Linked DNA regions of Bombyx mori. Each later gene encodes a partner of the first gene's protein in a complex. Links are inferred from orthologs where the notes say so. Each region holds a gene or a part of one and is shown in the gene's direction. Other genes may lie near its edges.

The links.
Region 2: dynein regulatory complex subunit 3 (region 1) and dynein regulatory complex subunit 7 share a complex: the UniProt entries of both Homo sapiens proteins name them as parts of the nexin-dynein regulatory complex. The link is inferred for Bombyx mori from reciprocal best matches to the Homo sapiens genes DRC3 and DRC7.
Region 3: dynein regulatory complex subunit 3 (region 1) and dynein regulatory complex protein 8 share a complex: the UniProt entries of both Homo sapiens proteins name them as parts of the nexin-dynein regulatory complex. The link is inferred for Bombyx mori from reciprocal best matches to the Homo sapiens genes DRC3 and DRC8.

Annotation. Positions count from the first base shown.
Region 1 is NC_085117.1:10,151,678-10,155,914, reverse strand, and holds the start of dynein regulatory complex subunit 3, read left to right. Parts: upstream 1-1,430; 5' UTR 1,431-1,699; coding exon 1,700-1,799; intron 1,800-1,871; coding exon 1,872-2,239; intron 2,240-3,573; coding exon 3,574-3,746; intron 3,747-4,237. Other genes in the region: TOM1-like protein 2, read right to left, coding at 514-761, 1,023-1,077. UniProt on the Homo sapiens protein: Component of the nexin-dynein regulatory complex (N-DRC) a key regulator of ciliary/flagellar motility which maintains the alignment and integrity of the distal axoneme and regulates microtubule sliding in motile axonemes.
Region 2 is NC_085131.1:3,776,621-3,780,686, reverse strand, and holds the start of dynein regulatory complex subunit 7, read left to right. Parts: upstream 1-1,244; 5' UTR 1,245-1,423; coding exon 1,424-1,849; intron 1,850-4,066. Other genes in the region: calcium-binding protein p22, read right to left, coding at 1-82, 259-325. UniProt on the Homo sapiens protein: Component of the nexin-dynein regulatory complex (N-DRC) a key regulator of ciliary/flagellar motility which maintains the alignment and integrity of the distal axoneme and regulates microtubule sliding in motile axonemes.
Region 3 is NC_085130.1:5,994,837-5,999,112, forward strand, and holds the start of dynein regulatory complex protein 8, read left to right. Parts: upstream 1-1,450; 5' UTR 1,451-1,583; coding exon 1,584-1,608; intron 1,609-1,857; coding exon 1,858-1,971; intron 1,972-2,476; coding exon 2,477-2,600; intron 2,601-3,051; coding exon 3,052-3,178; intron 3,179-3,995; exon of another isoform or gene 3,996-4,234; coding exon 4,235-4,276. Other genes in the region: heterogeneous nuclear ribonucleoprotein U-like protein 1, read right to left, coding at 616-745. UniProt on the Homo sapiens protein: Component of the nexin-dynein regulatory complex (N-DRC), a key regulator of ciliary/flagellar motility which maintains the alignment and integrity of the distal axoneme and regulates microtubule sliding in motile axonemes.

The DNA of each region.
Region 1 (4,237 bases):
TAAATTTTTTAATTTTAGATGTAAATATTTTTATGACTATGTAAGATGAAATGCTGTAATAATATCTAAGTCTTTAATGCACTGTATAATAACAACATTATACTATTTACATTACATTGTACATTTTATAGTGTAACATTATGTAAATTATAATTTGTAATGGATAAAAATTGTGTAAATCTAGATATGCCCAAGAGCATAACTTCTTACTTCCTACTTGAGACATTAAGATAAATTCATAATGCACCATAGTGCAATTCATTAAATGAATATTTCATCTTGTAAGAGTAAACTGGATAGAAGCAATGAATCATGCCAGCTGACAAATAACCCTACCAGTCTTGATTATGCAATTCATATTTTTCATTACATAGATTTGTGTGTGAAATTAAGGAAGACCGAAATTGGTAGGGTAGGCTGAATTGCACACATTCACATAAAATGAATGTGTCTATTGTACTTCCTGAGCTTTGTAATAAACATAGTGGTACATAATAATATAGTACAACTTACCAACTCTGATATAAATTCCTTATTGCAGACGAGAACATGGAACGGCTTTCCACAGTTTTTTACGCATGTTTCCAGGACAGTCAGCGTGTACATCACCACTGTGTAGTTCTTCCCAGCGCTTGTAGTCAACCTTTTTCTTATTGCTTTAATGGCATCTTTAGGTCCGTCCGTACTGCTGTTTATTATATCGCATATTTCCATGTTCAGAGCCCAATTTTCAGATGGTAATGCGCCATCTGTGGCTTGTTCTATAATCAAAATTAATGTAAACACACAAGTGATCGTGAGGTCAAAATAATTAACAGATACATAATATTTGATTTTTTTTTAATACTATAAAAATGTTCGTATATATTGCGGTATGTAACATTTGTATGCGAATACCGCAATTGCACTACATAAGAAATTGGAATCTTGTAGTGCGCAACAAAAAGAAAATGTACTTCTTTCATGGAACAATAAACTTACAACTTTAGCATCAATTTTCGTAATAAATTTATGAAACTTACCAATTTTTTGACCCACCGGCGTAGAAAAGGGATTCCCTACACCAAAAAACGACATTTTTGTAAAATAATAAAATATTTATCTATTGATGCAATTCACCAATCTCACTTGTCATTAAAAACTAGAGTTGCCCAGTTTCTGTCTCCAATTACCCCACACTATCAAAGACCAATGTCAAAAATCTGGGATTTTTCCGCGATTTGACTAAATACCCTAAAAATGTGGATAAACGTTGATAATTTTCCGACGTTTCCGCAATTTTAGGATATGAACCTGTTTGAACTGTGAAAAGGTTTCTCTGTGGATTACTATCCTATGCTGTCTTTTAAAAATATCGAAATATATTTCTTCGAAACACTTCATTTAAGAAACTGGCAACTTTAACCAAGTTAAATGTCAAACTTTGTATGTTCAGAAATAAGGAGTAAAACGAAAATACAGAATGTGAAACATGAAATGAATCAAAAATGATAATAATAATGTCTACCTTGACGTTAACCACTTTTTAAATATTAATGAATAATCATTACAACATCATTTAATATAATTTCATTTTGAACCAACCACATTTAACCGCCATATTATTTGAAATCATGTAACTTAGCAACTAGGTATATAACATAAATAAACTGTTAAATAAGTCACTGCAAATTGATTTGCAACAAGCAAACGTTTAACGATGACCGAGAAGAGATCATTGAATAGCCTTGTAATATATCCAGACATCGAGCCTGGTGTCATTGATAATGCGATGATCATACGATGTATACTTGAGTACGGTGGGTTTAGTAGAGATGATAGGTTAAAAATGGGACTTATATAAAAAACCTTTTGTATCTGTTGCCTTCCAGGGCCTACTGAAGAAGCAGGAAGACTTTTTGCCGAAGAAGGAGTACATTTGGATGAAGCTCAAGTAGTTCGACTTGAATTTCAAAATATTTTAAGAATCGATCATCTATGGATGTTGAAATCTTTAAGGAAATTAACTTTAGCTCATAATTTAATAGAAAAAATAGAAAATCTGGATCAACTTACTGGCCTGAATGAACTAGATTTATCGTTTAACAAAATTGAAAAGATTGAAAACTTGGATAAACTCGTAAATTTGGAAATCCTTACGTTGTTTCATAACAGAATCAGGAAACTGGAAAACATGGAATTGCTTGAAAAATTGCTTGTATTTAGTATTGGTGATAATATAATAGAGGATTATAAAGAAGTAAGTAAAAATAATCATGCTACGAAACAATATATCGTTTCAAAAAACACTGATATGTATTGACAGGTAGTGTCACAGATCAACAGCTAACTAAGCTGAGAGCCTTGAGAGGCTATATCAGCGTAGCCTTAACTAGTAGGTGAGCTCACGGGGCTCAAACCTGACGAGAAGTCGACGAGAAATGGCATAGGAAAGAAAAATCCTAATCATTTATGTAAACTTTATTAATGCTAAGTCGTCGTGGCCTAAAGGATAAGACGTCCGGTGCATTCGTATCGAGCGATGCACGGGTGTTCGAATCCCGCTGGCGGGTACCAATTTTTCTAATGAAATACGTACTCAGCAAATGTTCACGATTGATTTCCGCGGTGAAGGAATAACATCGTGCAAAATTATAATTTGCGTAATAACTGGTGGTAGGACCTCTTGTGAGTCCGCACGGGTAGGTACCACCGCCCCGCCTATTTCTGCCGTGAAGCAGTAATGCGTTTCGGTTTGAAGGGTGGGGCAGCCGTTGTGACTATACTGAGACCTTAGAACTATATCTCAAGGTGTGTGGCGCATTTACGTTGTAGATGTCTATGGGCTCCAGTAACCACTTAACACCAGGTGGGCTGTGAGCTCGTCCACACATATAAGTAATAAAAAAAAATTGCTAACTCCAACAAATAGCGCGTCACATAAAACCTCTTATCGTGGCCGCTTCTATACCTAACCACTACCCAGTGTCATGTCAAATGTCTTATACCCGCCCCAAACGACGGGGCAACGATAAGTCGCTGTCGCCGAAAGCACGTCTTGTCGGATCCTCCAGATCTACTCTTAGTGCTTTTAGACTCTCCAAGTACCGGTCATCGCTCTCGTCGAACTCTTCGAATATGATGAAGAATTTTACGTCATCGACACAATCCACTAAGTTTCTTGCCGGATCTTCTCAATGGGTCGCAATTCCCTATGCGGTGGTAGATTCAGCAATACACTGCTCTTGCTAAGGATGGTGTTAGGTTAGTGTTCTTTCAGACTGAGCCCGTGACGATTAGCTACCAACTATTTGGTAGGGGAAAAAAGCTAAATGATATACATAAACAATAAAATAAATGGAAGATCAACTTAAAGCGTTATATTAATAACGAGAATTAGTATTCCGTAAGATAAGGACCACATAATTTACGTCTATTAAATGAGACTTTTAAATCTAATACTAAGGGTTGTATCATCAAGGGATCTTTAACATCCATTCATAACTTTTTTTTAAATTTCCACTGTACACACAAGCAATCTTTGTTAACAGTTTTACTTTATACATAAATAGCTTTTTGAACATCCTTCAACAGATGGCCTACCTCCGCAGATTCCGTTTTCTTCGTTCAGTGAGCTTCAAGGGAAACCCATGCTGCGACGACCCTATGGCTTATCAGTTTATCAAATCAGCTTTAACCAGAGTTACATATCTTGATTACAAAATCGTCACGGAAGCAGAAAGAGAAGACGGTAGAGCTTTGTTTAGGTAATTTGTCTTTAAAAATATGCTCACGGCTTACTGAGAGCTATCTAATAGGTATGCGGTCTAGGTCGGAAACCAGCGACTACCGAATTGCTTAGATATGAACCCCCTGTGTATGATTTGTAACCTGTGTAAGATTGCAAGTCATCATCATTCTCCTGCCCTTCTCCCAGTCACCTGGGGTGGCGCAACATGTTTTCTACTTCCATACTCCTCTATCATATACCACTTCGTCGCTCACTCCCCTCTTACACATATCATCTGTCACGCAATCCATCCATTTCTTCTTAGGTCTACCTCTTCCTCTATATCCTTCCACATTCATAGTTAACACTTTCTTACAAACCTCATTGTCATTTCGTCTCATCACATGTCCATACCATCCTAAACGCGCACTTCTCAACTTCTCTGTCACAGGTTCCACTTTCAGACTTCCTCTAACATATTCATTCCGTATTCTATCCATTCTCGTTACTCCACACATCCATCGCAAA
Region 2 (4,066 bases), on another chromosome or scaffold:
TCCTCACGAGATAATGTTCCGCAGTCATTTTTGTCTAGTGATGTGAATCGGGAATAAAGGCGTTCTATTTGATTAGGTGTGACTGAAAATGTTAAACATTGATTAGGTACAGAATGGTGTTTCAATCAGTTTCAGTGCATTTTAAATGTTACTGATGTTTAGTAATTTCATTAAAGTATGCATGGACATATCACTTGATGACTACATCATAAATAATTACAATAACAAACAATTGATTTAATAAGGAAAATAACTTACACCCGGTTTCTTCCTGTATTTGTGCAATTTCCTCCTCTCTCAACAACAAAGACGACTTATTTCCCATCTTTCTGTGAAATCACTACTAACCTTTGTGCCAAGACCTTTGATAAGGGAGCCCTGATAGCACTTAATTATTAATTAACCGCAGAATTTATTTAATAATTTACATTGGTTATGTGTGATAGTTATGTTTTTCAAAATTTTTATAACATGAAATGTATATAACTATTCCATTTGAAATAACAGTGAAAAAATTAAATTTCCTAATTTGATTTGAAGTATTTTGCCAATCAACTGATGAGAAAATTGTAGGTCTATGGAAAATTGAGAAATGTTCACGATCAGACTGTCACTGACATTTTACTTTTTGACATTTGAGAGTGACAGTAATTGTGACATGTATGCAGACTTGAATAGTGTTGCTAATGATTTTTTCGATTCTGGCTCTAGAAAAAATTCCGACCTCAAACCTGTATGTTAAATTATGAATTTGGCAGACAATGCTTTAATTACACCAGATAGGATAAGATTTAGGCGTGTACGAAATTTTACACATACTAAAATGGTTATTGTGAAAAGGCTTTTGGAGGGCCGCACGGGTATAAGCACTAAATAATTCCAGCTTAAAGCGATAAGGCAGCTGAAGATCTGAATTAAAAAAATTGAAAGGTAGTGTTTTTTGCTATGTTTTTGCTAGAATTGGATTTAAATATGATATTATTTTACATGTAAACTTGTCAATTTACTAAATTCACATAACCTTGCGCATTGCACGAGCGGTTGTCATGGTCTTTTTAGCTAGAATTTTATACTGTTTATGTACATTTTATACTGTCGTGTCAAATTTTTATTTCCCCCAACCTATGTATCGTATTATAATTTAACGTTTAACATAGTTTTGGCTTTTGTGGTCGTTTTATCCTCAGAAGTTCCAAGCCATCCTAATCGATGGCAATAGTTTTTAGCTTGCAACACAAACGTACCCTAACGTTTTGATATTGCTATGAAATTTTGAAATTACTAAGGGAAATAGAATGTTACACTGAAAACAGCTGTATTCAGGAAAGTTACGTGGTTGCGTAGGTAACTGAAATTTGAGTATTCTAGTCATGTTTATGTTAAATGAATCCAATTAATAGAAGTTGTAGCTTAATCATCTACAATGAGTGTTCCAAAACTACAATCAGAAACGTTTGGGACAGAAAGGAAATCGGAATTGGAGCCTCTGGACCCTTTATTGGAGGTAAATGAAAATGTAGCGAGTGAGATATTAGATGAACCAGATAAAGAAGAAGAATTCGATGAAATATCTCCTAAAGTGTTTAGTTTGAAAGATGTGAATGAACCTTTAACATTAGAAACGTTGAACAACACCATCTATGAGCTCGGTGTGATAAACTTATGCTGGCCGGATATAGTCGAACCAGTGTTCGAGACGAGAACTAAATTTCCAGAAAGCTACTACACGAACAGTCCAAAAGAACGCTTACTACTTGCTTATGCGGAATGTTTTAGGCGACAGTTCTTATTTCATTTTAAACCTCGGAAACCTTTGTTGCTACAAGCGCCAAACGAATGTGGATTACAGGTAATCTCTATTAACAATAGATGTCGCTAGATGTAACTTTGACCAAATGCACTTACGAACATGGGATAACGAGTTTAAAATACTATTACATACTAGTAATTTTTTATACACAAATACTTCGATTTGCTTTGGTTTACGCATAGACATTTTAACCTTACGATTTAATATCGCGTTTATTATTTTCGGAAGCTTCAGCGTAACCGCGAAAGCTTTTTTTTTAAATTGTATTTCCTACCTAAGCTGATGGTCTTGAGAAATCATATCAGCGTCATCGGGAGGTGAGCTCACGGGGCTAAAACCCTACGTTGTTACTAACACGAACCCTAGCAAGAGCCGCGCTTCGCAGAATCTACCACCCGATCGGAAACGCGACCCAGTGAGAAGATCCGGCGTGAAACTCAGTGGGCTGTGTCTGTGGGTTAATTTACTCGCCGAGCCTTTCGTGCAAGCGACGGGTTCGACAAGAACAATGACCGGTGCTTGGGGTACCTAAAAGCACCGTTAGTGGATCGGGACCACGAAAGCTGTGAAGTATTCGATTTTAATTCAAATAACCTGCTTCATACTAAACAATTCGGGTTTACCAGGGGTCGCTCTACAACTGATGCAGGTGCTTATCTAGTCAAAAATATTTTTAAATCTTGGGAGGAATCGCATGATTGTCTTGGAATTTTCTGTGACTTGTCCAAAGCATTTGACTGTGTTGAACATGAAACATTGGTGAGGAAACTACATCACTATGGTATTAGGGATGGTGCATTGGAACTTATTACTTCCTATTTATCAGGACGGATACAAACAGTAGATGTGAAAGGTAATAGATCTTCAGGCACCTTGTTGAAAATGGGTGTACCTCAGGGTTCCATTTTGGGTCCTTTTTTATTTCTAATATATATAAACGATTTACCTAGTTTTATTGAGTCCCGACACGAGGTCGTATTATTCGCAGATGATACATCTTTATTATTTAAAATTAAACGACAACTACAAGTCTATGACGAAGTGAATGATGCGATTTCGTGTGTGGTTCATTGGTTCCGTATCAATAACCTATTATTGAATAGTAAGAAAACTAAATGTATTAAATTTACTTTAAAATGTATTAAACCATCTTTAAATGTGAGACAAGTGGATAGTGATGTAATTGTTTCTGAGGAATCATTGGAGCTTGTTGAGTCAACCGTATTTCTTGGTATAACAGTGGACTCCAAACTGCAGTGGGGACCTCATATTCATAAATTGGCGAGTAAGCTCAGCTCTGCAGCATTCAAATTAAGGTTCAAACACCCGACGACCATAGGGCCCTCTCTTCTTACCTCCGTAAGGAGCGTATAAGTTTCCATACGTATACGCTCCAGGAGGAGCGCGAACTCCGCGTTGTAATACGCGGAATCCCTAAAGAGTTAGATGTAGAGCTCGTAAAAGCCGACCTGTTAGAACAAGGCCTACCAGTGAATTCTGTGCACCGTATGCACACCGGTCGCGGTAGGGAGCCATATAATATGGTTCTAGTCGCTCTCCAGCCTACCCCCGAGGGTAAGAAAATCTTTAACACACAGACCGTCTGTAGGCTCTCTGGTATCGCTGTCGAAGCCCCCCATAAAAAAGGCACTCCTAGCCAGTGCCATAACTGTCAATTGTACGGGCACTCTTCCCGTAACTGTCACGCGCGCCCCCGATGTGTTAAGTGTTTGGGCGATCACGCCACGGCCCTCTGCGCTCGCGACCAAAAAACCGCGACGGAACCGCCTAGCTGCGTCCTGTGTCGAACACAGGGTCACCCCGCGAATTACCGTGGTTGCCCCCGAGCCCCTAAAATAAATCGCCGCGTCGCCCGCCAAAACCGCCTCCGAGCTTCCGGCCCAGACATCAAAGCCTCGGCACCCTCTGCGTCGCAGGCTAAGCCAGCGTTCGTTCCGGCGGCGGTGCCCAGTGTCTCGGCCTGGGCAAAACCGCTGCCGTACACGAACACGGCTACAACTCCCTCCTCCGCGATTCGTCCCGCCCCCGCGACTCGTCCCTCTCCCGCGACTTGCCCTCCGACCGCGTCCGACAATCTCGCTTTAGCGATCGACTTCTTTCAGTCGATCAACTTTGAGCGCGTTAACGCTTTGGGCGACGCCATTCGCGCTGCCTCCACTGCACAACACTTTATCGCCGTTGTGCAGGAATACGCCGACGTATACGCGTCATTAAATACGTACGTCCTCCCCTCAC
Region 3 (4,276 bases), on another chromosome or scaffold:
ACGTATACATTTTGTGCAAAAAAAGCTTTTAACTGATTTGATTGAATTTCGTTTTATTTTACTTTGCAGAATCGAGCTCTTCTTACCTATTATTAAGCCTAAGAATAATCATATGAATGAATTTCCCATAAAACAGTGTATACATAAATTGATATCGATGTCGAAGTTTTCAAACCGATTACGATTTGAACTGTTCAGTTGGAATAACTGCAATAACTGATATGCGTCGTTGTATCAGTAAAAACATATAAAATACTTCGAAAACTTAATGATGCTGTACATTAATATTTAATAAATTATTAGATTTTTATGCGATTTTATCTCATGCTTGAGTGTGAATAAAGTCGTAACCTTGATTTTGGCGTCAGATATTAAAATAGGTGTGTTTGCAAATCTCTAAATGGGACAGCAAACTGATGTATGGTTACTACGGAAGTTAAAGTTACTAAGAATCACACTAAATCTCTTAAAGTGGAAACAACAGTGCAACAATGATCCATGATTGATCGACAAATGTACACGTGCAGTAATTAAAAAAGTCCCTAACAACAATTTCAGCAACATTACTAAAAAACTGTACATTACGCATTAAATAATTACATCTGAAATCCTAACCTGTTCCAGTTTTCGCTTCGAGTGCTTTTTTCAATCTTTCTACCAAAGCCGGCTTGTTTCCCTTCGTATCTAACCCGAGAGCACCCAACTCGGACCTCAAGTCCACCACCTTCATTTTAGCAGGATCCATTGTATTAATCGTCTGATAGTATCCACTTCACAACACTTTAAAGTTTTTAAAACACATGTGCTTAAATAATATTAATTCTATTACTATCTGAACGAAAATTCACGACAGAAAAAGCGCCAACTAAATCCAAAATGGCGATTTAGCGGCGCATCAGCATAACGGAAGGAAATGGCGGTATATTATCTATGGTGGGGATTGGCGATTCCAGAATTTTTTGGAATAAGCTATTTGTTGTAAAATTCAAAAGGCCAAGGGTTTCTTATCCATACTACTCAAAAGTCTGGAAGCCTGCTGTTTAATCAGTATAGATTGGATTGTTTTTACAATGAATTTATTTTCTATTTGATTTTCTATAAAAGCATATTTTTGTGTTTTTTAAAGTATATATTTTTTTTTAACTAATATTTTTTGAATGTGGTACGACAATTAAACATCAACATGTCAACAATAAGCTATTAATTTGTACATTGGTTGAATTAAGCTTTGTCAATATTGTGGAGGAGCTGTTAAAACTGGGAGCTAATCCTAAAAAAAACTAATTTATGGATAATAGGTCTAACTGTTTAAAATATTGCATTGTCAACGGTCCTTGATAAGTACCTATGTCAAATTTTGATTTCAGTCTACGTTTTGAAGGGGGTCAAAATCATGTTCAAAGCATCCGTCACATATATACATACTAACTTACAGCAGCTCTGGTGCAAAATAGAACTAAAGCTTCGTCGATGACACTAGTGATAACTGATAGGTTGTGTTGCCTGGTTACGGAATATTTTTTTCAATTTAATACGTGTACTTATTAGTGTTACAAATCTTATAATTAAACTATTAGTTCATTATGGCAAGAAAAGAGGAACCTAAAAGTTAGTTATTATTTGAAAGATTTACTTTATATACATTTAATAATTTATAAACGAGCGATGTAAATACTGTGTAATTTAGTATCACTCATTAAATTTTATTATAAATGAATACATACATAAATACATTTATTAGTTGAAATTTAAACAAAACCAAACATTTTTATTGGTAAATAGATATTACGTCTGGTATAATATCTGATATATGTCATATATTGGTATATCTCATATACCTTAAATGTATCTTTCTAGTTCAACCAAACAATGATTTGGAGAAAAAAATAATTGAAGCTTTCGAAGTATTTGACCATTCTGGGAAGCAAGTCGTAGATGTAAGGGAAATAGGAACAATTCTTCGATCTTTGGGTAATGCTTTTTTTTCTGGTTTTCGTTAAATGTTTTAATACTTTACTAGTGTAATAAAGAGTATTTAAAAAATTCTGACTCTCACGGTAAATTAAAAGACACGAGTCACCACGAGTAGCCGATGGCGCTTGGAACAGTGCCGAAGTATCGCGAAATCATACTAAATATCGTAAGAATACAATAGCCGTGTTTACAACGTAATTACGCATGAAAAAAGTCATCATTTTGCTTTCCGTGCTCCAATTTTTCACCCTTTTAGGATAATAGATATCTCAATTTTAGTATGACAGTGATTATTCACGTCTTCGAGTCGCTACAAATTATTTAGGAGGAATAGTCGGAATGAAGGTGCTCTCCTCTCCGAGCCGGTCTGTGTGAACGGACCCTTAGGCCGTTTTTTGTTTTGGAAACTTCTAAGCGGATAACTGTTTGAGTACTAAATAGACTGTTTACATGGTAAATTTTGAATATAGCAAAAGAGACGTTAAATATATGTTTTTTAAAGGTTGCTGTCCAACTGAAGCCGAGATACAAGAGGTGATTTTAGCAACGGAAAACAAAGAAGCAACTGGAAACGTTCCGTTAACGAACTTTTTACCTTACATGTGTAAAGTCATGATAGAACATAGGTTTGTAATATTAAAATTAAAAAGGTTAAACAATTTTAAAATTTTGACAGTGTGGCTCAATCTTCGTTGTTATTTTTCATATCTTCTTTTTAATATAATACTGGCAGACCCGGCCACACGTTGCTGTGGCTAAGGTTTTTGTTTCTAATTAAAACGCGGCCGACTATGCTAATATCAAAAATTGACAAAGAACAATTGGATTTCACTGTATTGCGTTTACTACGAAATAAATTACCTACACTTATACTTTAGCCTAAGCATCATGTGGTGCTTATGCCATTAAATTGTAGCTTATGGAAACGTTGGAATTTTTGACAAAGCCAATTACGCCATTGATCACCGAGATAAGTAGATTTTGATGTTAGCTTTCTACCTTTCGTACGTGAATTTTTTAATTTAATTTTCCATAAAATGTTCATTATGTCAGGTATTTTATTTATTAATGGGACAGGTTTTATCCGGCGAGCGCTGAAATGCTGTTGGCTGCATTCAGATATTTTGACACGGAGGGACGTGGGTACCTCACTAAAGAGAGGTTCGCCAAGCTTATGATGGAAGAAGGAGAGTCATTTACGCAGGTACCTTAAAATTTCTTATTATTATCTATATCTATATATATAAAAATGAATTGTTGTTAATCAGTCTCGCTAAAACTCGAGAACGGCTGAACCGATTTGGCTAATTTTGGTCTTGAATTATTTGTGGAAGTCGAGCGAAGATTTAAAAGATAGATAGATATGAAAATGCACGGAATTTAATAAAAATAACAATTTTGTTTTTCCTTTGATGTGTCCCCTGTCGGTCTTTTATTTATCGATTGGGGTACTACGAAGTCTGCCGGGTCAGCTAGTTTTAAATAAAACAATTCGTTTTCCGGCTGCCTTCACTTTATGTCGTATAATATATTGTTACGCCGGTAAGAGTAACGCCATCTATCGCTGAACAGCCGAAACGAATACCAAATGATAGCAACATCTAGAACGCTCGAAAAGTACAACGCCATCTATTGTCAGGTAGCGGAAGCACGCATTGAAAGTGCTCGACTTGTGAGGAATGTTCTCGACGATTCTAGGGATGTCGTATCGACTTTATAAGCGTTGCAGAGATGCTGTCGACGTCACCCAAAACACGTCATTACGGATCCTCCCGATCCATTAACGGTGCTTTTAGGTACCACAAGCACCGGTCACAGTCCTCGCCGAACTAAGTTTCTCGCCGAATCTTCTCAGTGGGTCGCGTTCCCGATCCGGTGGTAGATTCTGCGAAGCGCTGCTCTTGCTAGGGCCAGTGTTAGCAACACTCAGGCTTGGGCCCCGTGAACCTTCATGTTAGGGCGAAACTGAAATAGTCTCTCGTGTTTGTGAAGTGTTTTAAGTGTTCTAAGAGATAACACAGTTTCAATTCGTACTTCGATAGAATTTTTATTTATACCGAATCGTATTATAATATAACATTATTTTTTATAATTAATAATCCTAACACTATACAACAATAATCCATAACATTAGTTATTATAAAATAATACCGTGTTATATGTTATGCTAACAAATACTATACTGTTGTATATGGATATGAATTGACTCGGTTAAATTTCAACGAGTATTCTTATGGCTCTCATTTTTTTCATGATACAGGAGGAGTACGATGAAATGATGCAAACAGCGTTAGATCCTGTA